Oryza sativa Japonica Group: one gene and its partner. The protein of the gene in region 2 interacts with the protein of the main gene of each other region in a biochemical or structural test. Links are inferred from orthologs where the notes say so. Each region holds a gene or a part of one and is shown on either strand. Other genes may lie near its edges. The genes, in order: ADP-ribosylation factor 3 and protein GRIP.

Region 1 (16,246 bases), on a different chromosome or scaffold from region 2:
AAAATGTTGAGAAGGCTAAAAGAAACTTATATATTTTGATTCAGAGGGATTTATTTTTACTTGAAAATGTTAGTTTTAGATCTGTTTTGTGAGGTAAGCACCAGTCAACTGTCAGATCCAGATTAAATAGTGAGATTATTCCGGGAATTTATATTCCCACACAATACTAATATAACATATTAATTGAATATATAGGTCCTAAATGCAAGTATGCCACCCAACATCACAATCAAAACATTTAGGACAACAAAAATAATTTATGGGTAAACCTTTTATATTTGTACTATTCGTGGTTTACCACAAATGATGCAAACTGATGTCCTTAGATCCTCCCTATCTTCCTCGAAGGAATAACTACTGATGCAACTATACAAACATAGTAGCCAACTGGCAGCAATACCAGCGCCCTGGTACTTGAACTAGTATCATTAATCCCAACAACACATTTCAAGATAATTTCTTTTGGCATTCGACATCACAACTCCAAGGCATTGAAGATACCACCGTGATTCTAAAACAAAAAAAAATGTGATGAACACCAACATCCCATGAATCAACCTATCCTAGATATCTCACCATTCTTTGATGCCCTTAGCGCAAATGACAGAAAACTCATGTTCGCTCCACAATGAAAGTCAAGAACTACCCTTGAAATTTTCTATCTCGCAGATTCAAGCAAAAATATCCAACTGAAATGTCATCGAGCACGCCGAAACTATCCAAAGAGTTCACTGTACAACTAGTTATTCCTAGCATTTGTTTCCATGACATCCTATAATACGACAAGACTAAAACTGTTCCAAACAATACCAAATTTCTAGTTGACACTCCATGTCATCCCACTCCGCTCCAAATAAACTTGACTAATCCACATCACTCCATACCACAGTTGATCCAAAACCATTTCAAACTCTCCCATAATTTTCAACTCCGTTTCGCGGCCATTTGCACAACGAGAGACAAATCAAGATCTACCAATTCCGACAATGCAAAACCAACATGTACCCAGAAGGCACAGAATGAGCATTTCCTCACCTGTTCACTATCGACAACTCACAAAACCACTCCAATTTCATCCCAATACTTCGAAATTTGCCGCTCCAACCAAAGGTTCAGTCACTACATCACTCAACGCACTGAACCCAGGAACTCACCTTCCAGGGTCTCGCCCTTGGCGGCGGAGGAGAACTCGCGGGCGTTCTCGGTGGTGAGCACCTCCCCGCCGAGCCGCCGCATGGCGGCCTCGAAGGAGAGGCGCGTGCGCGTGGACGGCTCATAGAAGAGCGTGGCCATGAGGTACCCCTCGAGGACGCGGCTCCTCCCGGCGCCGCGGGAGGAGGACCCGCGCTCCAGGGCCTCCATCTCCCGCGCCACCTCGAAGATCTCCGTCAGCGCGTCCCGGTCGAACTGCTGCGCCTCGATCACGTCCCCGAGCCGCAGCGACGCCGCGACCCCCGCCGCCGCCGAGCCGGCGCCGCATGCCACCGCGCCGCGGCGAGCGGGGAGGGAGGGGAAGGGCCTGAGCTGGGGCCTCGGCGAGGGGGCGGGGACACGCGGGAGCGGGAGGGTGGCGCGGGCGGCCGCCATGGATGGGGGAGGAGGAGGAGAAGTGAGCTTACTGTGCGGAGCGGCGGGAGCTAGGGTTTAAGGGGGTTTAAGGAGGAGGATTTTTTCTATTGTTAATTTTGGATTTTCGTGTGTTTTTTCGTCGGATGTTTGATCGGTTTGGACTTGGTTGTTGGACCTCCCTAGACTTGTTTTAGTAGTATATTCTTGTGTTTTTTTTTCTTTTCTTGTTCTTTTTCTTGTGATAGAAACAGTGACCAGTGAAGGTGATGGGGAATATTTTTCTTAGTAGGGAATATTGCAAATGGTTAGCAAGAAAATTGTCGTAGTCTGAAATTGATGCTGGCTCGAAGAGAATACTCTAGTTTTGTGTCCTGAGGAAACGACCTTGATGTTACAGAGGGGGTGAACAGGCATCTAAAACTTTTAAGAAAATGCGGAAGCTGAACGTTTTGGATACTTCCTAGTATTTTCAGATATTTCTAAAATATTTTTGGATATTTTAGAAAAACTCATATTTACAAGCAAACTAGCAAGTCAAGCAAAAAGGGGTTCGGCATAATTAGGGAAAGAATTGCACAAATAGCAACTAAACTATTAGCAACACCAAATAGCAAAACTAGATGAGTGAGAGAGATATCATCGGGATTCTTATGAGATAATGTGTTCCTAAAGTTCAAATCCTTGAGGGGATTCTACTCTCCGTCGGGTCTTTTCCAACCCTATCCTTGTGAGATTGCACAAATACACTCCTTCCACTAAGGGTATCTCTTCCCTTTTAGAGGTGAGATCTGACCTTCACATACTCCCTCAGCACACCACGAACAAATCGGTGTCTCGAGGTTGACTCCTAGCCGTTTGGACACTTGTTTGGCTTTCTAAGGGTGAAGAGGGGTCCAAAAGTCTCTAAATGAGTCCATAGCACCACCCATTTATAGCCCCAACTCCTTCAACTAGTTGTTTATTACCGTTGATAGAGTCTGCCAAAATTTGTATAGGATCCAGATTGTCCAACACTTTATGCTTTTCCAACATTCATTGAACTACAAGCCATTGGGCCATAAAGAGGTGGACGATCCGATAGCTGTAGGATTGTTCAACATTGCTTCTCCCAAACACTCCGGTATAGTACCATATTGTCTACTCCACTGCTTCTTCAACATCTGATGAACAATCATCTAGCCACGTCCAGAGCGTGTTAGATAGTCCGGTACCGCATCGGACTGTTCGACCATGATTATCCGAAAGTTCCCAAACAATCTAGTTCACTTAGTTTCTCGTGATCATCTTCACTAGATTTTTCCGACTCCACCTAGATTGTCCGGTCCATGTTAGACCCGAATTTTCCTATACCGCACATGATTGTCCAATCCATTATAACTTTGGGGCAAATTGATCTTCTATCTTCCAAACTTTGCCCAATTAACTTTCGCTTCAACTCATTTGCTTTGAGTGTTGTTTTGGCTCACTTTTCCACTTCAAAGGACTTAATGCCTCCGTATCACTCATTAAAGACATTATTACATTATTCATTTGTCATTAATTAGCCAAAATTTAGCTAGGGGGTCTAGATGCACTTTCAAACAATCTATTTGTTGACTCAGGAATTCCATATACCTAATTATGTTATTTGTTATATCTTTTTTATGCACACAAGAAGATATTTGGTTGCATCGGTTAGATTATATGCCATTTGGCAAAAAGAACAACTCTAAAAATAGTCTTATAAATGGATTGTGGTGCGTCACTTAGGGCAAGCCATACTAAGTACCACGATGAGCTACAATGAGAGACAATAACTAGCACACAATTAAAAAAATTCCTTTATTCATTAGATAGTTAAGTATTGAGCTTTTTGTGATATCCATTAAATAATTTAACTTCTAAATATATAATAAGATATTGAATGGTAAAGAAACAAAAAAAATAACATATTAGTTTGATAGTGAAAATGGTTAAGATCTTATTAATTTTGGTTACAAATGTGTCAAAATACTAATGATCACCGAAAATTACCTTCATTTTCCGAACCGTTTATTACTGATTAAAATTAATTTATAAGTAAAACTTTTATAGACATATCCTTAGTGATTCAAAAGCAAATGTTGTAAGATAAACTACGTTAAAAAACCAACATAATCAATAACTACAAAATTACTACTACTCCATCCGTCCAAAAATAAATCAACTTAATTTGAATTTGTCCTAAAATAAATCAACAGTTACCTTCTTATCTACCATCGGTCCGCAAATCAAAAAATTTTATTCCATCAATACCCCTCAACTACCTATTCACCACCAATGTAACTTTTCTACCATCGGTCCGCAAATCAAAAAATTTTATTCCATCAATACCCCTCAACTACCTATTCACCACCAATGTAACTTTTCTATTAATTAGAGACATTTTGGCTCATTATCTTCTTCCTTAATTCCAATTGGCAACCTAAGGTTTAATTTATTTGTGGGGACAAAGAGGGTATATTTTATATTATAAGTCATATTGATTTTAAGTCAAACTTCTTTACGTTTGACTAGATTCATAGAAAAATATAATAATATTTTTAACACAAAAAACTATCAAAATATATTCAATGTTAGATGTAATGAAACTAATTTAGTGCCTCTTTTTAATTGAAATATAAGTATGTTTGATTTTAATTTGTTGGGTAGAAGATTAGGAAAAGAGAAGGAATACAAGTTCTAATGCTAATGGAATTACTGTTGGCAAACCGTTAAAATGCACATGACACCTTTAGACTTATTTCTTAGTTTCCTTTTTCGAAGCTGTCTCTGTATCTTTCTCCGAGGCTTTCTGCATTTGTATGACAATAGGAATCGTGAGCTTAAGCACTGATATAGAAAACAAAGTATTAAACTATAGTGCAGTTCAACATATATGATTTAACATGAAATACATTATCAGTCTTGACGGGGAAAACATGCCGTAGAAGGCCATAAACTTGTTATTTCAATAACACATATTACAGCACTAGACCAAATGTTACTTGGCATGCATCTATTTATATACTGACTATATATTTGAATATTTGATGACTACAGATAAGGCTAAACCATAAATATAACTATATAAGCATGGTGGGTGAGATGACATTTTGTCAACGGTCATTCTGGTCACATGAGGTCAAAAGTTAGTAAATAGGATCAATTTCGACAATGAGGTCAAAAGTTAGTACAATAGGATCAATTTCGACAAGTAAAATATCTGCACAAGCACTCCATTAAAGATGCACATGCTAGATTTGATCATCTGTATGGCCTACACAACAAAAATCAAAACATGAGAAGAGTTTTATTCTCTTCTCTCTTTACTATAAAGAAAATACACAGCTCTCCTCCTGTATGTTTGAGAAAAAAACTAGAAAATAATGGTTGAACTGAACATTACAACCAAAAAAATACTCATACATTGGTCACCCGATGTTCACTTAAACCATTTTCTTTTAGCAGGAGCAAAATAAGTCTCTGGAAAACGGCCAGAATCAATTGGATACATTCACGATGGATGGATGTGGTTTAATGGCAAGTAAGCAAGGTCCGATCTGTAGGTGTACCGCTTTATCATGTTTAGTCCATTGCAGTTGCCGCACAGGAACATGGAAATTAACATTAGGTTTCTTGAATAGGCGTCGAGCTTCATCAGGACATTACTAACTGCTGCATACATGCATCGCAAATCAAGTAGCATTGAATATCAGACTGACGAATATACGAAATGTCATTAGAAAAAGAAAAAAAGAAATTTGAAATTGGCTAATAAACGCAAAAAGTTCAAAGCTGATAAATTCAGCTAACAGTATAGTGCCTTGATGGTAAGGCATGACCAACAAATAGATGGAGGTTTTGGGATATGGTTGGATATTAACATGTAGAGATAATCCCTTATATGCCACTAAGAATTGTCTGATCCTTTATATGCCAGTGAAAATCGGTTCTTCCCCTACATGCCATCGGTCCAAATTTGTGCACCCTCTCATGCCACTCCCGTCTATTGACTCCGCCTATTGATTGTGTGTTGACCGTTAACTATAAAGTAAAAAAGACGTATTTGCCCCTTTGAGTTGTTAGGCATGTACTATAGTTTTCCTTCTTTTCAATAGGAGGCAAACCTAATTAGCATGGCGATACGACTGACCACAGGTTTGAAGGATGACATTAGTCAAGGCAAATGACTCAAATGGAGGATGCCATATTGTTGAAGCACATTTCCCTATCATTTTCCTTTTATTGACTATTTGTAAATCATCTAAAGTTTGTATTTTATCTATGTACACTGATTGTTCCTCTGCTCAATCTCAACATAATTACATGCCATTTTACTTATACCTGCTGGGTACCCCACCATGTTGTTGGCCAACAAAAAAAGCATGGTTTTTTGGTGAATCAATTATTGTAACAAAATTCCTCTTGCCTCGTTTGGTAGGGTTCCAAACTCCAACTCTCAACTCTAACCTTCAACTTCAGTGAGAACTGGTTCCTATATGAGCTGAGGTGGGTATGAAAGTGTTTGGCTAGATTGTGTCACCACGTCCCTTGTTGGCATTGTCCTGCCGTAGTCGCCGCTCCACCCACGTGCCACCGCACGCGTGTCGCCTTGCCGATGCTGACCCTGCGCCGCCACCCACGCGCCTCTTGCCGCCGCTGCCATCGCTTGTGGCCTTGCTGCTCTCATGCGCCACGCCACCCGCCCCCACCGACGCCTGCCGCCGCCGTCAAGGGAGGAAGATGTGGATGAGAGAGAAAGGGAGGAGAGGGGGTGTGAAGGGGTAGTTCAGTGGCATATCGCATAAATACATGAAAAAATTAAAGGGTAGTGGGTCATTAGGGACGAAATGGAGCTGTGAAGTAGAAAAACCCAGTTCTACCCCGTAGTACAATTTTGGGGAGTAACTCTGCAAACTCCGCTAAAAAAATGAAGAATTTGTACCGTGTGGCACAACTCCAGCTCTAGGGAAGTTGGAGTTAGGAGCTAGAGCTGTGCCAAACGGAACCTGAATATTATACAATGATGAATAGAAACTATTTGAATTTGGATTTGAAAGACATATACTTGTAAAATCCAGATTTCTGTTTTAACTTGCTTGGCATATACTACCTGAATTAAGCGAGTATAAACGTGTCCTTGCAACGTTTCTCAATTCAGTGAGCATGAAAGAAAATGTGCCTAGTATATGCATGATTACTAGTATTCTACAATGGATGGAGTATTTATTCCATATCCTAAAATTTTCCATTTACATTTTGATCTTCAACTAACCTGAACTTAAAACCAACCCAGAGAAACCATGTCTTTTTCTTAGGTAAAATAGAGGATGGAATTGTTAAAAAACCGTCACAAGTTATTTTTGCAAAAAACTTTCAAATGTAGTTATAGTATAGTTATAGTGTAACTACAATATAGTTACAATGTACTGTACTGTAATCTCTATATAAGTTAGATATAAAGTTATATATATTATTTTAATATTTATATACATAGTTGTAGTGGAATTACATTACAATTATATTATAGTTAGATTTGAAAGTTTTTCATAAAAAAATCTTACAGTAGTTTTTAGATAATCCCAATAAAAAAACCATACAAACCCCACATAAAAACCTTTTGTAGCTGCAATCTTTTTCTTAGGAAATAGAAAAACCATACAAACCCACCTAAAAACCTTTGCAATTGGAATCTCTCCTAAATCCACCAAACCAAACCAAACCGCTTCTCCCCTTTTCCCCTCCAAACAAAAAATCCATCCATCCACCTTCCCCATTCGGTGAGTCGTCTTCGTCGTCTTGGGTACTCGCGCGCGCCAGCTCACTCCCAGATCTCCCCCCTCCTCTCCTCCCCGTCTCAGATCTCCACCGCCGCCGCCGCCGAAACCCTAGCCCAGCCCCCCGCCTTCCGCCGCGCGCGCGGGGGTGACCTCCGCGCCGCCGCCGCCATGGGCATCGTCTTCACGCGGCTCTTCTCGTCGGTCTTCGGCAACCGCGAGGCCCGCATCCTCGTCCTCGGCCTCGACAATGCCGGCAAGACCACCATCCTATGTAAGCCCACCTCGCCCCCCGACTCCATCGAATGTAATCTCGCCGTCTCCACCTCGGATCTGATCTGGGTGCTTGTGTTTTTTTTTCCTCGCAGATCGGCTGCAGATGGGGGAGGTCGTCTCCACGATCCCAAGTGGGTTCCCCGCTCCCGATTCCCTCATTTTTTTTCTTCCATTCGGTTTGCTCCGCGGGTTTGGTGACGTGTGTGCTTGTTGTTGTTGCGTTGCTGCAGCGATTGGGTTCAACGTGGAGACGGTGCAGTACAACAACATCAAGTTCCAAGTCTGGGATCTCGGTGAGTGTGCCCCCAAGTCTCTGATTCACGAGGACTGGTTTAGATTTTTCCGCGAGACAATTTATAAGTACAATTTACGACAATATCCATGAGGCCAATTGTGGGTACTACAATTTATGATTGAGTGGACCAATGGTTGAGACCTAGCTGACTAGGGTTTGACCATTACAATTCTGATTCTGTCCTAGGTTTTGAGGGAATTTTAGTATAACGTGACCTTTTTTACTTGTATGCTGAGTTCCTGAATTGAATCAAAATGGGGTTCTGTTTATTCTATGTGGTGTTGAAGTAAATGAGTTGTTGCCTAATGGCTTTCATGGCTTGTCTGCAAAGAGTTCAAAAATGACCATTCTGAGCATCTTAAGCAATTCAGTGACCTGTTTTTTCCTATGTTTGAAGGCTGATGTGGTTATTCTTAAAATACTATCCTCTCATCTGCTTTGGCACTGATCGCCAAGCCTTAGTATAAGAAGTATTTGGTTCACTAGCATTTCACAATCCTAAGGGGAAGTTCATATGCAGTAATACACTAACACTTGGATTCTTGCACAGCAACAATAATGATGTAGAATTCCTGCGGAAGTAGAAATGAAGAAATAAAAAAAATAGTGGAAAACAATGAGGAGAACGTGCTCAAATCAGACTTTAGTCAGCATGTTCATTTGCGAAATAACAAGAGTCTTGTATGGTGGGCAAGTAAAACCATGAGTATTTTTTTATCACTGCTAAATAAAGTTTGTATTAAAAACAATAGCCATTCTACTGTACCCCCAAACCGTTAGAGCTTAGAGCTTATAGCACATTGATAACTATGGAACTCACATAGCTTTGACTAGTATTTCGATCTCCGAAACTCATATAGCTTTGACTAATATTCCAATCTCGGAAAAGTGTGGCCTGGTTTTCGAAATATGGATTCATTTGCTTAGCGTTTGATTGCACCATTTCAAAGCTAGTTGTCTCCTGTGGTTAGTAAAGAAACATATTTTTTTAATTGCCACCATCGTGTAACATTACATGTACGATTTACTGTAGCAATACCTTGTAATCACCGGAACACTGGGGAGCTACACATTGCATTCCATTTTCCATGTCATTTAATTGAAATCTGCAAGAATATTATGCTTGGAAACGCATGCTTAATTGGGCAGTTATTCACATATCAAGCATATTTACTCACATTTAATGCATTATACAGCTGTAGTGATTTAATGCTTATATAGTTTAAAACAAACATCTGAAATTGCGATGAGTTTCTGCTTCTCTATGCTAGTGAAACTTTGTTTGCCTAATATTTTTATGTTCCTTCACTTTAAAATATCCAATTTTTTTTTAACACCACTTTCTTCTCAACAGGTGGTCAAACAAGCATCAGGTACCATCTCTATGTCATCACAATCAAAGTTTTTTCTGTCAAGTCATTCATGCCTTTATATAGTAGCCATTTAATTTTTATCATCCTCGAAAAGGATCACCCATTCTGCCTTCTTACATTTAGACTACCTTTTCTTTTCAATCATGGAAGTATTGCGCGTGCAATACAATGACCTGGTTGAACCTTCTTACTTAAGTTTCTACAAGCTAATAATAGTACTCATGTATACTACTTGAAATGTTCTGATAAAATCCTAAAGCTAGAAATTTCTTAGGGTTCAAAGGGTTAAGTTGGAAATATATTTCCTCTCTAGTTTTTTGCACTGCTAGCTAGCTAGGATTTTTACTGCAATAAGGTTTTTTATAGACATAGGCTTTTACTGCAAACCCCTAATTTGATATGGTTTGATCTTGGGGAATATCATAGTTGTAAAAAATAATCCAAGCTTTTGTAAGAGTACTTTTATTGGGTGTAAATATGGCTAGTTTGTTTTTTTCCTTGGGCTTCAAATATCTAATTATTCTCCATGGAGTTTTTGCGTTTGAGAGGCAGGCAACTGGATATATATAAAATTTACTTGGTCATCCTGTTCTTCAGCCGGATATGTATAGAGAAGGGACATAGATGCTTACCACAAGAAATGGGGGCTACACATTTACCCCGGGGCTAAGACAGCTTTCTAAATACTATCGCTTATGATATTCCATATACTACAGCACTTGACCTTTCCCATAACAAACATATATAGATCTGCACAGTGGAGTACATAGGTGTCCAAATGAGCGTAATGCGACCATTCATTGAAATGAAATTGTAATTGTTTACCTTATACTTACGTGTTTAGTTCAGGATTCACAAGAATATTTAAACTTTATAGTCAACCTTCACTTATGTCTTGCTACTTCTGATTCCTTTCTGTTACTCTTTTGTATTCAAGTATGTTTCCTTTGTTAGGCATGGATTCTCTTAGATTATTTGACTTCCTTCCTTTTAAAGACTAGGCATGACACGTTTCTCTACGCCATTAACATATTCACCTTTTTAGGCCATACTGGAGATGCTACTTTCCAAATACCCAGGCTATCATTTATGTTGTCGATTCAAGTGATACAGATAGGCTTGTAACGGCAAAAGAAGAGTTTCATGCTATCCTTGAGGTATGGGCCACCTGTGCTTGAGGGACTCGGTATATATATTTACTGTGTCATATGTAACCATTACATGGAAGAAACAAATGGGATTTTGCACATATTTCTCAAAGGGTGATTATGACTGCAAGTTTAGTGAAGCATGCTGCTTGCTCATTCTTTAAAATCATTAATTGGTAATAAAAAATCCATGTATTTTTGTCAGGATTTAACGGATTGCTTACTTGTCAGGGGATTTCAGGCGCTTTGTGATTCACAGGCTATGCCTCCTTTTGCAGTTTAATTTTGATCCCAACAACTGGTCTGTTATAAATTTGATAAATCAATATCTCATGCTCGTTTGTTCATGAACACTAACAGTGTTTATGCACCACAGGAGGCCAGGATCCCTATCTAGTTTGCTATTTTCATTCTTTTTATGGTTAGAAATATTAGCAGCATTTCGTTAGCATGGTGTTACGCTTGTGTAGACATAAATCCAATATCCTAATGATTTTAAGGCTATAGCAGTACACATGAATTGATTTCATTTAGGTGCATTTGCTTATTGGCTGCTTGCCTTCAACTGGCAGGAGGATGAGCTAAAAGGTGCAGTTGTCCTTGTATATGCGAATAAACAGGTAAAACCAAACCATTCTGGGTCTCATACACTGTTGTTAATTTTGTGTGCTTAAATTGGTTTCAAACGTACTCCGGTGCTACATTTTTCTGCATGTGGTTCACTTGGATTTTGACAGCCCATGGCATCTTAAGTCCTTAAACAAAAGTTACTTCTAGCTGTTCTGAACTTGCACTATTTAAGCATTTTTTTTGGTTAATAAAATATATCGCTCTCTGTACCAAACAAACGTAGCCTATTTATTATGATTTTCCATTATGTTACTTGGACATTAGGTTTCAAATGTGAATGTCTTTTTGTCAATTGTCATTCTTTGTTGCTTGCATTTTCTATACAAATAAGTTGGAGATGCTTTATTCTATGGCAACAATGTAGACGCCCAATATGATGTCTCATGTGCTGTCATGCCTACAATGAATGCAGGATCTTCCAGGTGCACTTGATGATGCTGCCATAACGGAATCATTAGAACTCCACAAGATTAAGAGCCGTCAATGGGCGATTTTCAAAACATCTGCCATAAAAGGAGAGGGCCTTTTTGAAGGTTTGGACTGGTAAGTCACATGAAATTTTCTTTTCTCTACGGAACAAATGAAATAATGGCTAAAATGTTTATGCTGGTAAAATCCTGTACTATCCTGTTTCTTGTAGTGACGTGAGTACTGGACGGTTTGTTTTCCTGTGAATATGATTAGACTGAACTCCCATGTTACATTTTTTCCAGTTCTGTTTTACAACACATTATTCTGCAATTCCTCCCTGATGAATGCATATGGGAATATCTGATGGAATTAACTTACAAAAGCCTGGTTTGATTCTTGCTGCAGGCTCAGTAATGCACTGAAATCCAAAAGCAGCTAATTTAGGAGCCTCTGTTCCATGGATCATTGCTTGATGGTAAAGAACAGGGACACTGCTCCCTTTTCCTCACAAGTCTGCGTGAGAACCCCCATTCTCTTTGTTTTAACTCCAGAAGTTTTATACCATCGATTATCTGTAAAGTGCTTGTTAAAGTTTTCGGATACGACTTTAGATGTACCTCCATATTGAGATCAAGAATAGATTTGTAGAAAATGACGAGCAAACTGTCAGGACTCTTGGTCACTGGTGGCTTTACCCGTAAATCCCTTCTATTGTGACATTTTTTTCCGATGATTGAACACGCCTAATTTCCACCTTGTCGCCGAGTTTCATGTCGTTTTCTACATATTCTTTTACTCTGGTGATACGAATGCTTGGGAACATTATCCACTAGTCATTTCTTAATAATGTTATATTGAAATGAATGAAAGAAGTGATCTTGATTCTTGACCCTCTGTAACTAAATTAAATCTACTCTTGACCTCATCTATACATCTTTATGATCACTGTTCAATTGGTAGCAATTCTGATGACATGTAATACAACTATGAAATCATAATTCGCAGAAAGTTACCACAATAACTCAATAACATCATAAGCACAAGGGTACGGATGGTAAAGTAGTAAAGTATGATACGTCTCTACTCTTGGATAAGCACATCTTAAAACCTTACTTTTGAGTTATATGTTTTTAAAATCTTCCTTTGATATTATATGTATATTTCTCTTAAGAAAACACTACCATAAGTCCAAAACATCATGATATTTGCATTTGATTTTGGGATTCTTTTTCTCACCGTGGCTTATTTTCTAGCATTGACTCTTAAAACAACAATAATATACAGATTAATATTTATCTACGAATTACTTTTATCGTTTTGTTTATTTTTCGACGGCTTATTAGTCATACCACTAATTAATATAGCGTCTAGTAATAATTGATGTAGCGACTTTGCTGCTGGTAAACAAAAGGAGCTAGATAGACCTGGCCCAGCACAAAGCCAGCTGCGAATTGACGTCAGCAGGGACGTCATCTGATAACTTGTGCTGAACACCAGGACCAGGGCAGGCCGTTTGTTTTTTCTTGCAACGACTGTTCAACCGTCGTCGCGAATAGTCACTGTCGCCTAGTCCGTGTTTAGTTATAGACTTTTTCTTTAAACTTCTAACTTTTTTATCATATCAAAATTTTCCTACACACGTAAACTTCTAACTTTTTCATCATATCGTTCTAATTTCAACTAAACTTTCAATTTTGGTGTGAACTAAACACAGCCTTAACAACTTGGACATGGAATTAGGAGGATTAATTAATTAATTTGTTTACGGCGACATCCTGTTCCATAGAAATGTCACGGTTGCTACAATATCCCCTTAAACATCAGACACGTGTTGTGCCGACAATTCATCGCGTTTGCGGCGAACAGTTCCGATTCCGTTAGATATAGGCAAGGCCAAGTGTCCATATAATACTTGAGTCAGTAATCACATTTGCCCAAAGAAGGAGATTTGTTTTTTCAATTGCACGAAGGAGATTAAGGTTGTTAAAATATATCGATTCTGTTATATAATTTTACGATTCTAATTAAGGTGTTTGATTCTATGATTTTACCATGTAGGTAGAATTTATGATTTTTACGTACACGATTTTATGATTGTGATCTTACTTATACCTTTCGATTTAGGATCACGATTTTAACAACTTTAAAAGATATTAAAGTCGTTAAGTAAATCAGGCTGAATTCCTATGAAAAATGTTTCTGCGTTTATGTAATTATAGGTACCAGGACAGCCATAACTCCACTACATCAGAAGTGTTTCTGTATAATCTGCACAAGTTTCTTCACAAGTATTCCACTTATTTCACTACATTTCACCATCGATCATCTTTTGTGTTTTAAGATACTTGTAGTTGCAACTTGCAACTACACTAGTCAATTTTTTTTGGAAGGATTAGCATGCAGGGAATTGGATTGATTGGTTATCAACTGACTGTCAACTTTTGCAAACGCACTAGTCATGAGTTAATAACCAATTGAATTGGATGGAACACTGGCTTGACAAGAATCACTAGTTGCGGAAAAAATATCTGTAGGAAAAAAAATCTATCTGTGTATAGGATCGGGGTGAATAGGATTTTCTAAGTACAAGGCCAAATTAGAACTCAATAACAGAAGATTATATCTACCCTAAGTTCCTATGTTTGACAACCATTGTGACCCAAAATTTGCAACTGAGTTGAAGTTTTACTCAATTCTAATTCAATCTATGAAAGTAAAATGCGAGAGGTAAAGAGATTGAGATAGGAAAAGCAAACAAGATGCTGAGACTTTTTCCCAAGATATCGAAAATTGGGCAATCTCCACTAGTACTCTAATTTGGAGCACTATAAGTGAGAGTTTTACTTCCTCTCATGGCCATGAAATCTGTGAGCGCCCTTTAGCGGTAGTTCTTCTCTACTCCAGAAGATAACCCAAAACCTTCACAAAATTGCATCTCACAATTTTCTCGAGAGATCACCATGAACATTTCCGAGACCGGCTAAGACATGCCGAGATGTCAAGAATAACAAGAAGCCTTCACTCAAGCAACTTAGCACTAGACTACTTGGCAGATGCATACTAAGACATGTTTGATTTGGATTATTAATTAGATTGTTGCTATTGATTATCTACTTGATTATAGAGATAAATTAATATTTTCATAAATAAGTTTAATAAATAGCTTAAGACAACAGTTTTTGCAGTGCAGTAGAAGAATGCTTTTTCAAGAAGAAAATACATTTTTCATAGCATGAAGTAACTAATCCGATAAATAATCTGCAAGTGATGTTCACAAGTATAGGGGAGTGGATTCAGGATCGATCCTATATGAAGGGGGTACTCATCCTCTTCATCCTTTTTTCAGTCCCCCATCTTCCTCATCTTTTCCGTTTCTCCTCACCTTCTTCATGGGGATCCAACACGATAGGGAGAACTCGAGTCCCAGCGCCCATGTTGGATCCGCCCATAAGTACTCCACGTATTTTGTTATCTTACATTTCACTGTCGATCGCCTTTTGTGTTTTAAGATGCTTATAATTGCAACTGCACTAGTCGGGCATTAGTCAATTTTCTTGGGAAGGATTAGCATGCCAGGAATTGAACTGATTGGTTATCAACTGGCTGTCAACTTTTCCCAAATGCACACTAGTCATGAGCTAATTAATAATCAATTGAATTGGATGGAACACCAGCTTGACAAGAATCACTAGCTCAAGAAAAAATATCTATTGGTGTGATGGCCCACAAGAGAGCAGCTTCTACCAAGTGCTACTAGAAGACAATGGAAAGTGTCTCAGAATGTGATTGTGCATCAAGCCGAAAGATAGCAGTCGTCCTGTTTGTTTGGAGGCTACGTGGCTGGAAGGTTCTGGAACCATGAGAAGAAAAAAAAAAGAGGATAAGATGATAAGTCCAAATGAACAGAAAACCTGGGCGACTCCTAATTGAAGAAACCTTCTAGTGCTTGGATGAGCAGCCGACCGTGCCGGAAAAGGTAACCCGTTGATGATGAGTTGAGCTTGATTTGCACGCACTTATCTGCAAGGGGAAAAAAATTATTTCAGAACCTTAAGTTTTAAGGAAAGCTTGAAAACCATCCAACTTTTAAAACAGGTTTTAGCTTTGACTGAATACATCATTTGCTTTACATTTTCTCTGTTTACGTTGTTAGACCTTTTTAAGTTAAGTGACAGTTTCATCCCAAAGTAATTAATCTCTCCCTCAACGAAAATTTAAGAAAATATTGTAGAGAATGTATGTATAAGTAAGGTTTATATATGCGTGGATAGTCTCTCAGTTCATTATCATCTTTACCGAGACACTCCACATTTAGGAACTACTTGATAAAACGGCTATTTATTATAAAAATAAAAAATAACAAGAATTGTTCAAGTTGGTACCCACTCGGTTACCATAATATCGATGATCGAAATATAGACTGTTATAAGAAATTGTTTATATCAACGGTCTCCTGTATAATTTCAAACAGACCTAAAGAGAGTCCTAAGTAATATCATATTGCTGACTGGCAAGATTTATCGCTGTCGAAGTATCAATCACCTACTTTCCTGTGTGTGATCTCTTTACTAATGACCACCGCCCCCTCCCCCCCCCCCCCCCACTTGACACTGTCACCCATTCCACTTGCTGCTGCCACACATGCCTAAATTACACGCTAGCTAAAGCTAGTGAGATCTTTTTGTTCGTCTTTTTTGTGAGCCGCACAGTGAAATTTAGGACTAGATCGATCGATGATGATGTGACTGATCGAGCAGCTAATTTCAA
Region 2 (15,787 bases):
GATAAATATAAATAAACCTTAAGATTGACACATACTTTTTATCATCTGTAGCACGAGAATGATTTTGTCAGAAGGTAGTCATCACTCATCTGTAGCATGAGAATGATTATGTCACAAGGTAATCATCTGTAGGAAAGAATATAACGTGAACTATCCTGTTTATACTGAATAGCTCCAGCACACCGTATGGGAAATTATGTCGATAGTCCAAAAAGGTGGAAGATCTTTGATGCCACACCTTAATGTTTGCTATTATTAATAGTACCTGTCAAAATAACCAAACAAATAGTAGTAAGTACTAAAGGCTGCACTTCTAATAGATGAGGCTAATGTCCAATTGTTTAAAATACCATGGCATAGAGGTAGACAGTTGAAATTTCATTACACTTGGCGTGCTAGCATTTTCATGAACTATAGGAGAATGGTTTTTATTTGTTTTTGCGAAACAGCCTCACATGGAAATGAAAAGAAAGAAAAAGAAAATGAAGAAATACACCCCCCTGAAACAACCCCTTTTCGCTTATGTGTGATTTACTGAATTCTCATTGTTTATCTAATCATGTTAGATTGTAATGCTATAGCTAGTGCAATTTCAGGAATTAATCTATGCAAATCCAGTATAGCTTAGCTGTCCTTTATGCAGGACAATCTGCAGAATGTAAAGAATAAATATTTGGAACTACTTGTGTGATGTGGATGTGTATTGATTGTCTCTCTGGTTAATACTTACAGAGTTCAACCTCATTTTGGAACTAGGCAGCTTGGCCTGGCAGTTGAACCATCTATTTTACAATAATTTGCCTTCCAATTAAGGACTAAAGGTCTGTTTTTTCAGGATCACTTGGCTTTGATGATGGAAATCCTTGGGAAGATACCAAAAAAGGTATACATATCTTTTTGCTGGTCAAACTTTTTTTGTTAGGACCGTGGATCTGACCAGTGTAATCTTTTGCAATGAGCTCAGATTGCTACCATGGGAACAAAATCAAAGGAGTATTTTGACCGTCATGGAGATCTGAAGCGGATAAGAAGATTGAAGTTCTCATCTATTGAACGTGTCCTAGTTGACAAATACAAAATTTCTGAATCCGATGCACGGGAATTTGCCGAGTTTCTTTGCCCTTTGTTTGATTTTGCCCCAGAGAAGCGTCCAACAGCTGCACAGTGCCTACAACACAAATGGCTTCAATATAGTGATGGCAAGAACTATGGGACTCTCAACATTAGTGATGTCAAAAATGCTAGTGTTACATGCAGCCCTGGAACGACTGCCAGCAGTGATTCTAAGAGCATTGATGTAACACGCAACATTGGAGACAAGCCTGACAGTTATGCCGAGAGAGCTGATGCAAAGTGCAATACTAGCAAAAAAAGCATCATCAACAGTAATTCTGAGAATTCTAATGTACAACCCAATACTGCAAGTGTTGGCAATAGAAATTCCAAAATTGATGATGTAAATTCTAATACTGGGAGCATCACTAACAAGGATTCCAAAAACACTGTTATAAAGCCCAGTATTGGAAGCTTCGTGAACAGAAATGCTGAAACAGTTGATGTAAAACCCAACATTGGCAGCATAACCAGCAGAGGTGACAGTAGTAGTGACACCAAGAGCAACATTGGAAGCGTTGCCAGTAAAGATGCCAAAACTATTGATGCAAAACCCAGCACCAGCAGCATCACCAGCCAGGATAGTAAGATTGGTGACGGAAGGAGCAACATTGATGGCATTGCCAACAGAGATGCCAAGACCGCTGATGTGAAGCATAACATTCGAAGCGTTGTTAACACTTATTTGAGGAATTTTGATGTGAAGCACAACACTGGAAACATTGTTGATGGTGGTGTCAAGCACTCAGATTTGAAACCAGGCACTGTAAGTGCTGCCAATGTCGATTCCAAGAGTATAAGTGCAAAGCCCAGCACTGGAAGTTTTGAGAACAGTGATGCCAAGAGTATTAGTGCAAAGACCAGCACTGGAAGTTTTGACAACAGTGATGCCAGAAATATTATGAAGGCAAACACTGGAATTGTTGCTAACAATGATATCAAGGATACTGATGTACAGACTAATACCGAAAGTGTTACCAGCGGCGACGACCTAAACGACATTGATAGAAAGCCAAACATTGGACGTGTTGCTGCAAGTATACAGAGGCTGGAGAGCAGCATAGGCAAAGTGCAAAGTGGAAAATATCGGTGAGAAAAATAATCCATGCTAGTGCTGATCCAGTTACCTATTTTGATCGGCTTGGATCTGTTTTCTTTTTGTGGAGAGGCATATTCAATTTCATTAGATTTGTGTCATTGATTTGATTGCTGAGGTTAATAACTACCCTTTGTGATGGAGCCAATCTTCAAGATTTGAGGATTTGGCAAAAGCACCAGCTGATGCTTTTTACATATCTTATATGTTCCTGCTAACTGTAAAAAAGTTTTGTATTTGCACACAGAATACACATGGAGGTACATATTTCTTATTTACCTTTGTTAATGTTCACAGATTTTATTGACATTCAAGGTACATAAACATTCTTTTGGGCTTGATCAGATTGTCTTGTACGAATGGTTTTAGTTCTGTCGAGTGAAACATGGAAGAGAACCATTTAACTCAAACATCCTTCATTAAAATGATTGCTTTCCTTGTGTTAATCTCATTGGATTTCTCCCATAAAAGTTTATAATGAGGTTCAACGTTATACTCAAGATGTGCCTTTATCTACCGCTTGTAACCGCTAGGTTTTCTGGAGTTATTTATTTTTGATAAGGTTTGGGAGGAGGTTTTGATTATGCATATAAGCATGGAGTTGGTCAGTTTGATTGATGGTAAGCAGGGGCAGATCCAGGAACAAAAAAAAATTGGGGAGGCTCGATTACACAGTTTCTTCAACCTCTAACCATTTAGAGACATTTAATTTATCATTCATGGTGAAAAATCGAAGGGGGTGCTCCGGGGTATCCATGGGTCTTGTGGGTGTAGGGAGGACTCAAGTGCCCCCTGCACCCACGTTGGATCCGCCCCTGATGGTAAGTGCTAAAGAGGCCTCATGGGAATTCCTGACCGACCAATGTTTATTTCTGATTTGTACTGGCGGAAGTGATCAGACATTAATAGGTACTTTAGATCTCACATTCTTGTTTGATCATATTTCATAATCCATGTATTACTGTCTGTAATTTCTGAATTCCGAATGTCTCCACAACCCCGTGGACCATGATGCCTTAGCTCGACCTCAGCTCAGGAATTTATGTTCCATACGATTCATTTTCTCATAATAAATGAGAAAAAAAAAGAACTCGTAGCATCTTGAATCGACCTTTTAACTTGTGTATAATAATCTGTATGTTTTTCTTTAGTATACTGTGCAATTTTTCGAAGATATTGTTATTTGTGTAAGAAGATAATGTTGGTTGGAATGATTCTGAATAAAATAGTGGTCACGGAAAATAGTAGCAGTGTAAAATTTATTGTGTGCCTGTTAATTTAAGGCTTTTATCCCTGTTCTCCGCAAGGGGTATAAGGACCCGATTTTGAGACCTGTTTGATTCTTTTCAATTTTTTTTAAAAGAATGAATTTTTCCCCTTAACTCGAATCCACTGCACCGACTGATAAATTTCCATGGATATTATGTGGCGGTAAAACATCTTCATAAATCGATCAAATATTGACTATGGCAATTCTGTCTCCGATCTTTCAAGGTCGCTCAACACAACAGCTTGGGTAGAAAAATTCTCAAAAAAAAAAAAAAAACAGCTTGGATAGAAAAAAAAAACTTGCACATAGGTTAGATATCCCAATCGAGCATGGGCTCGGGAGTGGCACTGCTGGATCTAGCACAAGCTCCATGGATAAGAGAGAGCGTGGCTAGCCCAAAGAAGATAAATGAGTATGGAGTTGTGCGTCGGTGAGTTGGCACTGTCCAAAGAAACTTTGTAATGCAAACTGAACTCCTTTCGATCAAGAAATGATAACCTACTCCTTCCGTATTTTAATGTATGACGCCATTAACTTTCTGACCAACGTTTGACCATTTATTTTATTCAATTTTTGTGTACAAATATAAAAATATTTATGCCATGTTTAAAGAACATTTGATGACGAATCAAGCCACAATAAAATAAATAATAATTATATATTTTTTTTAATAAGACGAATGGTCAAACGTTGGACAAAAAGTCAACGACGTCATACATTAAAATATGGAGGTAGTAGTAAATAAATGTGACACATTCTAATACAATAAATTTAATAATTCTAATATAAAGTTATTTTTTATTTAACAAAGTGAGCGGTGAAGAGTAGAGGACGACGACTGTAGTAGCCATCGAACGAGGTCAACCGTTTCCACCAATTTTACCCGCAAGTTTTAAAAGCAAAACTGACCTCGGGATTCACCCGGATCCCCCCTCGATCCGACGCTTGGCTTGTACTGTACTACTACTGTACTCCTCTGTTCCACTGCCATGTGGTCCCCGGTCCCACCCGTCAGCCACAGCCTTCCTTACCCGAAAGCGAGAATCGCTTCCTTGTCCGCCTGTGCTGCTGTGTGTCGTCCCCCCTCCTTCCCTTCCTCGCCCGCCCACCGACGGCCGACGGCCGACGGCGAACCCGCTCCTCCGCCTCCGCCGCTGCCTGAGCCAGCCAGCCATTGGAGTGGAGGATCCGGCCTCTGCTCCCCTCGCAAACCCCCGCCACTCCTCACCCGCACCCGATCCGATCCAACCCCGCATCCCCCGATCCCTCCCACGGGACCAAGATTCGGATCCGCCTCGCCGTGATGGATCCCGACGAGAACCCCACGCCGCCGCCGCCATACCAGGAAGCGGAGGCTGCGGTGCCGGTCGACGAGCAGCCTCCGCCCCCCGTAGAGGAAGAGCAGGCGGAGGCGGCACGCCAGGAGTCAGCTGCGCCGGTTGAACAAGATGCGGCGGCGGCAGAGGGAGGAGGAGGCGATCGCGCCGCGGGCGGGGAGCGGAGCCGCGAGGAGCTGGAGCGGGTGGTGATGGAGCTCGGCTTCCAGAACGACTACCTCAAGTCCCAGATCGCGGCCGCCGAGGGTGGGAGTGGGGCGGCGGAGTCGGAGCTCGTGAAGGGGTTGAAGGAGCAGGTGGAGAGGCTGAGGAAGGAGGTGGAGGAGCACAAGCAGACGCAGAAGGCCACCGAGGCCGCCCTCGAGCACGTCAATGTCGCCTACGCCGAGGCGGACGCCAAGGTCCAGGACCTCACCGCCAAGCTCACCCAAGGTTAGTTTCTACTGTCCCTGAGCCTCTTCACCGCGCCGGAAGTTGTCAGCCGCCGAGATTGGAATGGCGGGCATGCACCACTGTAACATCTCACTGCACTCGAGCTCAAGTAATTGGCTAACAATTTTTTTCTCGCTTCTATTTAGCTACTTGGTAGTTAAAATTCTGTATGGCAGGTAATTTGGATAATCTAATTTACTAATATTTGATAGTCTAATTGGTATGAAACTTGTTTGTTGGCCCATTTGGTCAGTTAACCTGTACCCTCCAAAATATGACTAGGGTGATGTTGCAAACATGCACAATACAAGTACCGAACTGCCGATACGGATCACGCCGGCTGGGACTGTTGATTTTATAAAATAGCACTGAATATGGGAGGGAATCAATAGACAATTGGTGATCGCCAGGTGTTTCATACCAACCGATGCTAGTAACTGTATTCAGCACAAAAATAGGAATGAAGATGCAAAACTTTTATGTTGGAATACATCATTACTGTTACATTGAGGAAACAACTCTCCTGGTGAAATCCATGTGGATGAGAAGAGGGAAAAGAAAGACAGAGGAGTGGGGGTTAGCAGTTATTACCTGTAGATTTCTTTTGAGTCAATTGTAAGGTGGGTGCAACTCGGTACAAAATCTTGCAAATTGAGCAAGCCTGTTAACAAGTTGCATGGCGCGTGCGAACCAAAACCAAAATAGCTCATGTGGCTAATCAGATAATTTTTATGTTGGCTAATAAATCATTTTCATGCTGATTACGTCTCCATGTACGCTAGCAGGTAGTAATCGAGATCTCGGATTTTAGCAATAAACTGTTCCCTGCATAATGCTGCCTCTTTCAAACTGATTTTTAAGCAGACCTCTCTTTAAACTCTTTTGTGGCACAAACAACCAACATGTGCATGCTTTATGGTGACATTAAAATCACACACCATATTGAAGTTGCTTAATCACAAACGGGTTCAACTCGTTTGGTCCCGAGGAATTATCGATCAGAATAAAGAGTGAGAATTGATTTATCTAGGTAGGGGGATAATGACTGATCATACATGGTGGTGCAAGGGTGAGAATTCGTCCTAGCCAAAGAGAGGTTAATGAATTTGTCTCACAAAGAGCAGATGAATCTTATAGCTAGGCATGTACGCACCACTCAAATTTTGCATACCTCAAATGATGATCCAAAACTTAAATACTAAAATTTCACATAAATTACACATGTAACTTTGTTTTTTTTTTGGCTTCAAGCTAGCCATTAAAGGGCAAAATCATCCATGCTTGCTGATGGGACAGCCCAATGAGTGCAAAAATGATCTGTGTAACCACTGTGCACCATTTTGGTCTTGGTCCACATGCACCATGGAAGTTGTTACACTATTTGTTTGTTCTGCAAGTTGTTGCACTAAGTTGCACCCACCTCACAGGTTTATGTACCCACCTCACAGGTTTATGTACTGTGAGTGTAATTTACTCATTTCTTTTTATATGGAGACATTTGATAGGTGATCTGAACCAATTTCTATCAGACTTACAGCTTAGAGCTTCTATGACTGCATAAAAAAAGCATACTCTCTGCTTTGATGTACCATTTCGTTCTCCCTCTATGATTCCAGTCCTCCCCACTAGTGGCATTGTCAGATCAAGCAACTTAAGCCTGAGGATGAATGAATATTTGTTCGACCTATCTAAAGTGTCAGACTCAGCATTTGATCGCATGGAGAGCAGACATGTACAAATATTCCGACACACCATGCTGAAGTTTCCTGTATAATATCGAACTGAGTCCAATAATTTTTGTAAAACACAGTTTCTTAACTGTTTTTTGCTCAGTTGTTTGATAACCCAATATTTTCTGATTTGTCCTTTCCAGGCAGTAATAAGTATATGGGGTCTTTATAGTTATTGGCAGTGACACAAAGTGTTTGGGTCTCGCTTCATAACCTTCATTTTGGATATTTTAAAGATATCAATATTATTATTTTTGGATGATTGTGCTCATTATAATGATTACAATGACATCGATGAATCTTTGTTAAGCCATTCAGTTAACAAGTTTTGGAAAATGGTAGTAATGAAAGGGAACTGAATGTTTCCAAGTAAATCACATGCTGACATTTATGTGTGTAAGAAAAGAGGGACTACCCTTGGAAAAAGGGTAAAGTTCACCAAGTCCTCAGAACTTGCACTATTTGCAAGTCAGAATCCATGAAAAAACTACCATTTTCTAGTTCTTTTTTTATGCTGGCACCCCATCTAGATCTGCAGATTCTTAGTGGTATTGTACAGATTACTGTAATTGCAGATAGGATCACAGGCTTACGTGTGATTCCTCAATAGGAAAAACTAGTGCAAACCATTTATCACCATCATTTCTGAAAAAAAAGCTCTAAAGTTGCTGCAGTTTAGTTTGATCAGGATACACCTTATATTATGATGCAAACTGTTCTCCTTTTGCTGCTCTGCTATGTACAACTGTACATTTGCTTTTCTATTTAGAATCTAAATCATCATTAGTTCCATGTATGTAGCTCAGCAGAAAATGGATAAAGAACTAAAAGAAAGAGATGAAAAATATGTTGAGCTGGATACCAAGTTCCAGAGGCTTCACAAGCGTGCTAAACAACGCATACAGGATATACAGAAGGTGACCAACTTGAGCTCTCCTTGTACATTAATTTTGGTGTGGGATTAGTTGATCGATCACTTAGCAGTCTTGATTTTCTTTCATTAGTGTGGAAGTCAATGAAGAATTTTGGGTTCTTACTATTCTATTCAACAAGCGATATGATGTAACTGTGTAAATGACTTGTTCCTACCTCTTGCCTGTAGAATGGTACAAATCATTATATGCTGTACACCAACATTTTACATTTCAATGCAATCCAAATATAAATCCTTTGAAGTCAGTGACAGTTGATTTTAATATCTATCCTGACACACTTGTGTGATCTTTGCAGGAAAAAGATGACATGGAAGCTCGCTTTAATGAAATTAACCAGAAGGCTGAGCAGGCTTCTTCTCTGCAGTCAGCAGCACAACAGGAACTGGAACGTGCTCGTCAGCAGGCTAGTGAGGCTTTACGGTCAATGGATGCTGAAAGGCAGCAATTGCGAACGGTGAACAGCAAGTGAGTTACTGTAGTAATCACACTGTACAGTTCACTCACTATATTTTAACATGCTGCTATAAAGTTTATATTCTCTTTTCTATTCAAGATGGTTGGTACAAGTGATCCATCATGGCAACATGAATGCTGAGATGTGTTGGATTGCCTACTCCAGTTGGTCCTTTGTAGTTATAGTCTGATGTTTATATGTTGAGCACTTGTATAGGCAACTTGTGATGAAGTTTATGACCTATTTTTCTGCAATAGACATGTTAATGATATACAATTTATTCTTACTAGTGGACACAAATCATTGTGTAGGTTAAGAACTAATCTTGATGAGGCACGTGTTGCCTTGGAGGCCAGGAATAATGTCCTTGAGAAGTTGCGACAATCGATGTTTGAAAAAGAACAGGTATGTAAATGCAGGTCTTAGAGTGTTTTTATGAACTGCGATATTTTGTTTGAGAGGTATGAACTGCAGCATTGCTGGGCACAGTCTTAAACTGGAAATAAAAAACAAGAGGAAATTTCACCTAACCCCACCTATTATGGTCTAAATTGCACAAAACCACAGGGGTTTTGGCACGTGACAAATAGCCCCAGGTATTATGGTTATAAAGTTTCACAAAACCATATTATTGATCATTTTGACTTTGATCTACCACACTTTTAAGTTCTACAATCACATCTCAAATTATAGGTTCTTTATCCATCATATAAATGTTACATCCATATAAGTAAAGTTTTTTTAAAATAATTTTTGATATAGGAGTATGTTAAATTGGTTAACGGTGTGGTTTTGTGAAACTTTAGTACCATAATACCTGGGGTTATGCGCCATGTGCCAAAATCTCCATGGTTTTGTTCAACTTGGACCACAATAGTTGGGGTTTTATGAAATTTAACAAATTGTATGGACATGATAATACAAAAAAGAGAAATAGGGGTTAAAGTTGTCATATTTCAAATGCTGTAAACTGTATTAGGATGTTATCTAAATTTGAGATCATATTTGTCACATCGCTCAAAAGTCATGTTGATAGTCATGATAATAGCTAACCATTGTTTGTTTCTATTAGCTAAAATAATGTGGAAAACACATAGCTATAAATCTAAAACCTTTTCTAGTTATATAGTATAGCAATTATAACTTAAATAGACTGATCCAATGTTTGTAAAGTTGTTAGAGCAAACCCAAGCATCACTTCAATCTGCAGAAGAAAAGAGAAATGCATCAATTGCGGAGCTTACTGCTAAGCATCAGAAGGTAAAGAAAACAAATGCAGAAAAACAGTTTTCCGCACATTAATTATGTTAACTTGGCCTTTTTTCCCCTAGCAATTAGAAAGCTTGGAGGCACAGCTAACTGAGGTTTCTGCGGAGAGGACAAAAGCATCTGAAACGATCCAATCTCTTCAGGTGTGATTTGCGGCGGAAGTTTTCTTGCATATTTTTTTGATTATCACATGCCCTGTTCTGTTTGTGTCCTTGCTTGCTGTTGTGCTTTTGACTTAAGCTTTATTGTTAAAAAAGTCCATTAGCTGAAGAAGATTAATCTCATTATGACGGGAATCAGTAATGAGTTAAATGAAACATCAAACTTTTCCAGATGTTGCTTGTGGAGAAAGATTCAGAAATAGCTGAAATTGAAGCAGCTTCTACTGGGGAAGCTGCTCGAATTAGAGCTGCCATGGAGGAGCTTAAAGGCGAGCTTGCTCATCTGAAGGACCAACATGTAAGATAATTTATTTGTACAGATTCATGCTATTCGGTTAGAATGTTGAACCATGTGATAGATGCCAAAGTGATTTACATATTCAATATTTATAGTTATTGTGGTGGTTAGTATCTATGGTTACCTGATGGGTTGGATGAATGCGTAACATGTTTATATTTAGTGCATCATTACAAATGAGCAATTTTAAAATGTTTTTTTCCCTTTGACTAGCTGGATGGCATTCTTAATTATTTAAAACGAAATAATCCATATATCTCAAATAGATCTAACATGTTACACACCTGCTTGTTCTGTCCATGCAACCATGTTTCCTATTATGATATGTTGATTCAGCCTTTGACGTGTTGATTGACTTGCGTATAATTACATATTTGCATTTCATTCTGTTGATTTGGGAAGTGACTGATTTCTATAGAACTAATAATTGACATTGGCTCTTTTATTATCATCACCAGTCCATCACTTGAATATTTTGGATTTGTAGTTGAAACTTTCCTTTAAACAGCCTCTACTTCTGTTTCCCTCCTTTTTGGCACTTACTGTTGTTTGGTCACCATGTTTTATGAAGTCCTTGAGACTAAATAGATTGGTTCCAACTCGATATTTACTCAGGAAAAAGAAAGGCAAAATTGGGAAACTACTTGTGAATCGCTTAGGACAAAATTGGAAGCATCAGAAAGTGCATGCCATATATCTGTGATAGAATCTACTAAAGTTAAAAGTAAGTTTGCTTTCCAGACATTCTATTTTGACTTCAGAGATATCGCACTCATACAAATATTGGACTATTGCAGGTCAACTGGAGTTGGAGTTATCAAAGCAAAACCAATTACTACAAACCAAAGACTCTGATCTATTGGCTGCAAAAGACGAGGTATAAACTTAATGTGATTGTGAAGCCTAATTGTACATAAAACCATGTTTCAAATTATATGTCAAAGACTCATAATTCGAAGTTCATGTCAAAACTCAATTTATCCTCAATGCCATTTTGACTTAGAAGGATTGAGTATCTTTTTTTTTTGACTTCATTCTTGTAGTATATTATATGAGCTAATAGGCTGGCAGAATCCTCTCTCTGTCTCTGTCTGTCTCTTTCTCTAAGAAAAGGCTGGCATAATTTATTCTAGGCCTGAGTAGCAATTTTTATAAGGTGACCAAGCTACCAGTTATTGCCACTATTGAGTGAAATTGCTTTGTCATAATAGTGGCAATGTTATTGTGTACATGCACATCTTTGTTATTTGAAATGCTTTTACTCGAGGAGTTTATACTGTTAGTTTGTGTGCTGGCGAGAATACAGTGGCAGCACTATACAATTAACTGAGAATTCCTTTGAAATCTTTTAATATATGCCACTGTATTAGGAGGTGCCCTAACAGCTGATTCGACAGCATGTATAGTCGAATTGTTGAAATGCATGTCGACATGCTTTCGGTTGCAACTCCAATTTAGCCTTTTGAACTTTGCAGATTAGTCGGCTGGAAAGCGAGTTTTCTGCATATAAGGTCCGCGCACATGCACTTCTGCAAAAGAAGGATGCTGAGCTGAACACAGCTAAAAACTCAGATTTGATTAAAGCACATGAAGAAGCAATAAGGGTATTACATTATATTTTAAGATATATACTATAACCAGAGATTTGAACTGGCTTGATTGATTTTGCTTTGCTCCAGGAAGCTGAAAAGGAAATTTCAGCTGCCTTGGCAGAAAGAGATAAAGCCATCCATGACCTTCAAATTGCTCAATCCAAATATGGTGAAGAGATTGAAGCAAGGTAAAATTGGTTTCACATTGTAGCCAGATATTGTTGTGTGTTCTTTTGATCTGTTCATGACATGGAGCTCCAAAATTAAAATGATGTTCTACACTTGTAGATTGTAAAATATGCTATGAACACTGTAGGAAGGTCTTTAAATATACTTCCTGGTACTTGTAGCCATATATTCGTAACTTGTCATTTAGACACGAACTGGTTGCAATAGCCTGGTAGCAATATGCAATGTAGCAATATTGCCATGTTATTATATTTGTACCCTGGTGGTTGCTATTAACATTATATTCCTGTAAGCTGATTAGCTGATGCACTATATTACTATAAATCTTTTTCTTGCAAGTTTCATTTTGTACTTTATTTTCTTCTCAGGGATTTGGCTCTCGCTGATTCTGACAAAAAGTTAAAGAATGTCATGGCAAAATTGGATTCTCTTACTTCTAAATTCCTTTCCGAAAAAGAATCATGGGAGAAAAACGTGGCAAGTGTAGAGGAAAGCTGGAGATGTAAGATGTCCATGATTTACTTAGAATCCCCCCCTCCCTCTCTCTCTCACAAAAAGGTGTGGTATCTGATGGTAAAATTTGTCAATCGGATGATGCAGTGAAATGTGAGTCTGTGAAGGCTGAGAGCAATGGGCATGCTGGAGATGAACTTAAGAAGAATTTAGTGGAGTTGACAGTAAAACATGAGAAACTAAAGGTTCCCCTGTGACATGGGTCATTTTTATCTCCATACCAGTCTAATGTCTGACACAGTATTTTAATATATGATTGCCTTCTTAGGAAGAGCATGATTCTTTCCGTGATATTGCTGATAGAATGCTTGAAGAGAAGGACCGGGAGGTGGCTAAGCTCCTCAGGGAAAACAAGGATCTACATAACTCTTTAGAGGCTAAAGCGGCAGTAAGTCATTTTCTGATTACTATCTTGGTTTCCTGTATGGAAGTAATAAAACACATTGATTGCTGTTCACTGATTAAATGCCAGCTGTGTCTTTTGTGAGATATTTATATTTATTCATCTCGCTTATATATTTTAAAATTCATATCTAATCACTAACAAGTAATGGCTCGTAACATGCCATTTGTGAAGCCGATACCAATATTACAAGGAAATTCCATTGATATCCTCCAATCCAATCTTCTACCATATATAAATTAACATATGTTCTTTTGATGCCATGACCATCTCCTGACATTCTCTGGGAACACATTATGTGCACAGTACAGTTTCCACTCTGCATCAGTTCTGTCAAACAAATGTCTAAATCCTACTCTATTCCTTTTTAATTTTTTGGTTGTAGTTTGGGGTAGATTTGGTGAGTGAAGAGATCAGTAGCAAAAAAGGCCGCAAAAATGAGTTTTTGTGAAAAGAGAAAGTCAGCAGTAAATTTTGTGCAAGTGTGCAACTTCTGTGTTATTTTCGCCACTAACAATTATAGTCACCCCTTCTTTCTGTGGTACCATGTCCTGCCACTCGCTACAATATGCAATGTCCTGTGTCCAGTCACTTGAAGCTTCTGCTGGCTGTTTCCTCACATAGTCACATCCTAGAGAGCATACTACAACTCGCAACTGCTGCATGCTGTCAATGAATGCATTTGCAATCATCACATGCATGTTTCTTTTTGTCTGTACTGCATGAATGTGTAAGTAAATGATGACTGAATAGGAGGAACATTTTATTTTTCTGGTGTATCCTTTTGTGACTAATAACAACTACAGGCTATGTGAGGAAATAAGTAATATTTTACTCTTTCCTGGGGATATATCATTTGGAGTGGTACAGCTATGCAGCTAGAAGTAGTCGAGTATCTGAAAACCCATGGCATGCAAGTAACTAGCAATTTGAATGATGACCAAAATACCCAGAATATACATTCACCATGGTGTTGGAGAATTGTTTCTTTGACACTTTACATTTTCATACTCCCTCCCTCCCATAGCATAAGGCGCACACACATTTTAAGATTCAACTTTTAAAACATTTTATTTTATTTGCTAAAAATAATATCATCGGATTGACGTTGAATTTACTTTCGTATGGTTATAATCTTGTTGCTAAAAATCTTATAGTATATGAGAAACTATAAGTCAAAGATTAGTTTTGGAGATCGTGTCGAGTTTGACCGTGCCTTATATTATGGGATAGAGGCAGTAAATGATAAATAGTAAGCAAAATTTGGTTTTGAGATTTCGTTAATAAGATTATTTCACTTGTCACAGGTTAGCATCAATGGTAATCAAAATCCAGGTAAATGGTTGTCAGTTTCTTTTGCATTTTGTTATCTTTCCTATCCTATATTCTTCCCTCAGTTTAATGGTTACTTTGGAATTTGTTGACATGTACTTGTTTTTGCAGGACCTGCTAAACAGGATGCAATGGACATTGAACTGGCTGAGCAGCAAATTCTGGTAATATTGAGTTTGAAACAATGTTGGGCATGCCTTTAAATGTTAAGACAAATTCATGGATATTGTAATCATCATTCCAGTCATTGGTAAATTGGTTGCATGAATTGAATTAAAGTTCTACTGTACTTTGCACTCTTCGTAGCATCACTTGCCTACTTGCCACTTAATTTTGCCAAGGTTATGTTGCGATTTATTATAATGAATCATAATTTCCAATTAGCCAATTAAACCAGAATATTTTCGACCTATCAATATTGTTGAAGTAAATAAAAATGGATGGGGGCTTCTCAAGATTCTCAATTTAAAATGTGATATCCACATTTTCAGCTCCTTGCACGGCAACAGGCACAAAGAGAAGAGGAATTGGCTCAATCACAGAGGCATATATTAGCACTTCAAGTCAGTTTTGAGCTTAGCAATCATTCTTTTGTTTGTTCATTCTGTTATTAAAGTACTAATGATATTCCATTTCTTTCCTTTCTGTAGCAAGAAATTGAGGAGCTTGAGCGTGAGAACCGCCTTCATGATCAACAGGTTCGAGTTTCTTGCACCTATCTGTAGTTTCATATCCAAGATTAATGGTTAAATGTCCTTATTTATTTGAGTAATACAAAAATGTCTTGTGAATTTTCTACTCAAGGAATACTTAGCTTAAATTATGCAAAAAAGTGTACCAAAGTCTTTAATTAGGTTTTTGTGGTCAATGAATGCTAACCAGGATTAAAATTTGCAAGATGTGCACAAAATATCTTCATTTGAAGAAATGGAGCATAGATTATGCATTTTTAAGTAATAAATTTCTGTTTCAGGAAGCAATGTTGAAGACTGAGCTCCGCAATATGGAGAGATCACAAAAACGAGAAGGAATAGATATGACATATCTAAAAAATGTTATCCTAAAGCTTCTGGAAACAGGTTAATGACACTATTGTCTTTGACTACAGTAAGTTGACTGTTGATCTAAAACATTATTTGGTTTATGCTATCACAGGGGAAGTGGGAGCATTGCTGCCTGTGGTTGCAACATTACTGCAATTTAGCCCCGAAGAGGTAAATGCTCACTTGCTCAGTATAAAACTGATTTCCATTGTAGATGATTGCATTCTTTCTTAGCATCTGATTGGTTATTTTTAAATGGTGAAACACTTTCTCTAAACTATCTTAAAACCTCAGCTTTGTACAATGACATGTTGAACCATGTTAGCTAACAATGGTAGAAAGGGAAAATTAGGACGGTAATATTGGAAAACTTGAAACTCGAGAAACATAAACACCAAAGAAACATAAAAAAAGCTAAACGATATGGAAAGCGACACTCCAAGGATATATTCCACACCAAATTCCAAAGAAAGAAAAACACAATTACCCCATTTCACTCCCAATTTGAGGCATTATAAAGTTGCCATCACCCCTGTACCCATGGGCTACAGTTTCCTCTCCTCCCCCATACCCCCACTATGTCACTTCAAAGCAACCGATTGGTATCCTATGCTTCTCTC

The links.
Region 1: the proteins of protein GRIP (region 2) and ADP-ribosylation factor 3 form a complex in vitro, tested with the Arabidopsis thaliana proteins (2 studies listed by BioGRID). The link is inferred for Oryza sativa Japonica Group from reciprocal best matches to the Arabidopsis thaliana genes ATGRIP and ARF3.

Annotation. Positions count from the first base shown.
Region 1 is NC_089042.1:9,130,291-9,146,536, forward strand, and holds ADP-ribosylation factor 3, read left to right. Parts: upstream 1-7,331; 5' UTR 7,332-7,517; coding exon 7,518-7,620; intron 7,621-7,714; coding exon 7,715-7,753; intron 7,754-7,852; coding exon 7,853-7,915; intron 7,916-9,271; coding exon 9,272-9,290; intron 9,291-10,335; coding exon 10,336-10,447; intron 10,448-11,010; coding exon 11,011-11,058; intron 11,059-11,480; coding exon 11,481-11,611; intron 11,612-11,884; coding exon 11,885-11,918; 3' UTR 11,919-12,235; downstream 12,236-16,246. Other genes in the region: aspartate carbamoyltransferase, chloroplastic, read right to left, coding at 1,155-1,587. UniProt on the Arabidopsis thaliana protein: GTP-binding protein involved in protein trafficking; may modulate vesicle budding and uncoating within the Golgi apparatus.
Region 2 is NC_089041.1:17,132,809-17,148,595, forward strand, and holds the start of protein GRIP, read left to right. Parts: upstream 1-4,533; 5' UTR 4,534-4,782; coding exon 4,783-5,248; intron 5,249-7,765; exon of another isoform or gene 7,766-7,769; coding exon of another isoform or gene 7,770-7,779; coding exon 7,780-7,895; intron 7,896-8,208; coding exon 8,209-8,378; intron 8,379-8,678; coding exon 8,679-8,772; intron 8,773-9,540; coding exon 9,541-9,627; intron 9,628-9,698; coding exon 9,699-9,779; intron 9,780-9,969; coding exon 9,970-10,095; intron 10,096-10,710; coding exon 10,711-10,819; intron 10,820-10,892; coding exon 10,893-10,972; intron 10,973-11,570; coding exon 11,571-11,699; intron 11,700-11,774; coding exon 11,775-11,875; intron 11,876-12,244; coding exon 12,245-12,378; intron 12,379-12,476; coding exon 12,477-12,574; intron 12,575-12,657; coding exon 12,658-12,777; intron 12,778-14,099; coding exon 14,100-14,127; intron 14,128-14,235; coding exon 14,236-14,288; intron 14,289-14,615; coding exon 14,616-14,687; intron 14,688-14,774; coding exon 14,775-14,822; intron 14,823-15,097; and 4 more. Other genes in the region: uncharacterized protein, read left to right, coding at 836-883, 965-2,206. UniProt on the Arabidopsis thaliana protein: Golgi matrix protein playing a role in tethering of vesicles to Golgi membranes and in maintaining the overall structure of the Golgi apparatus.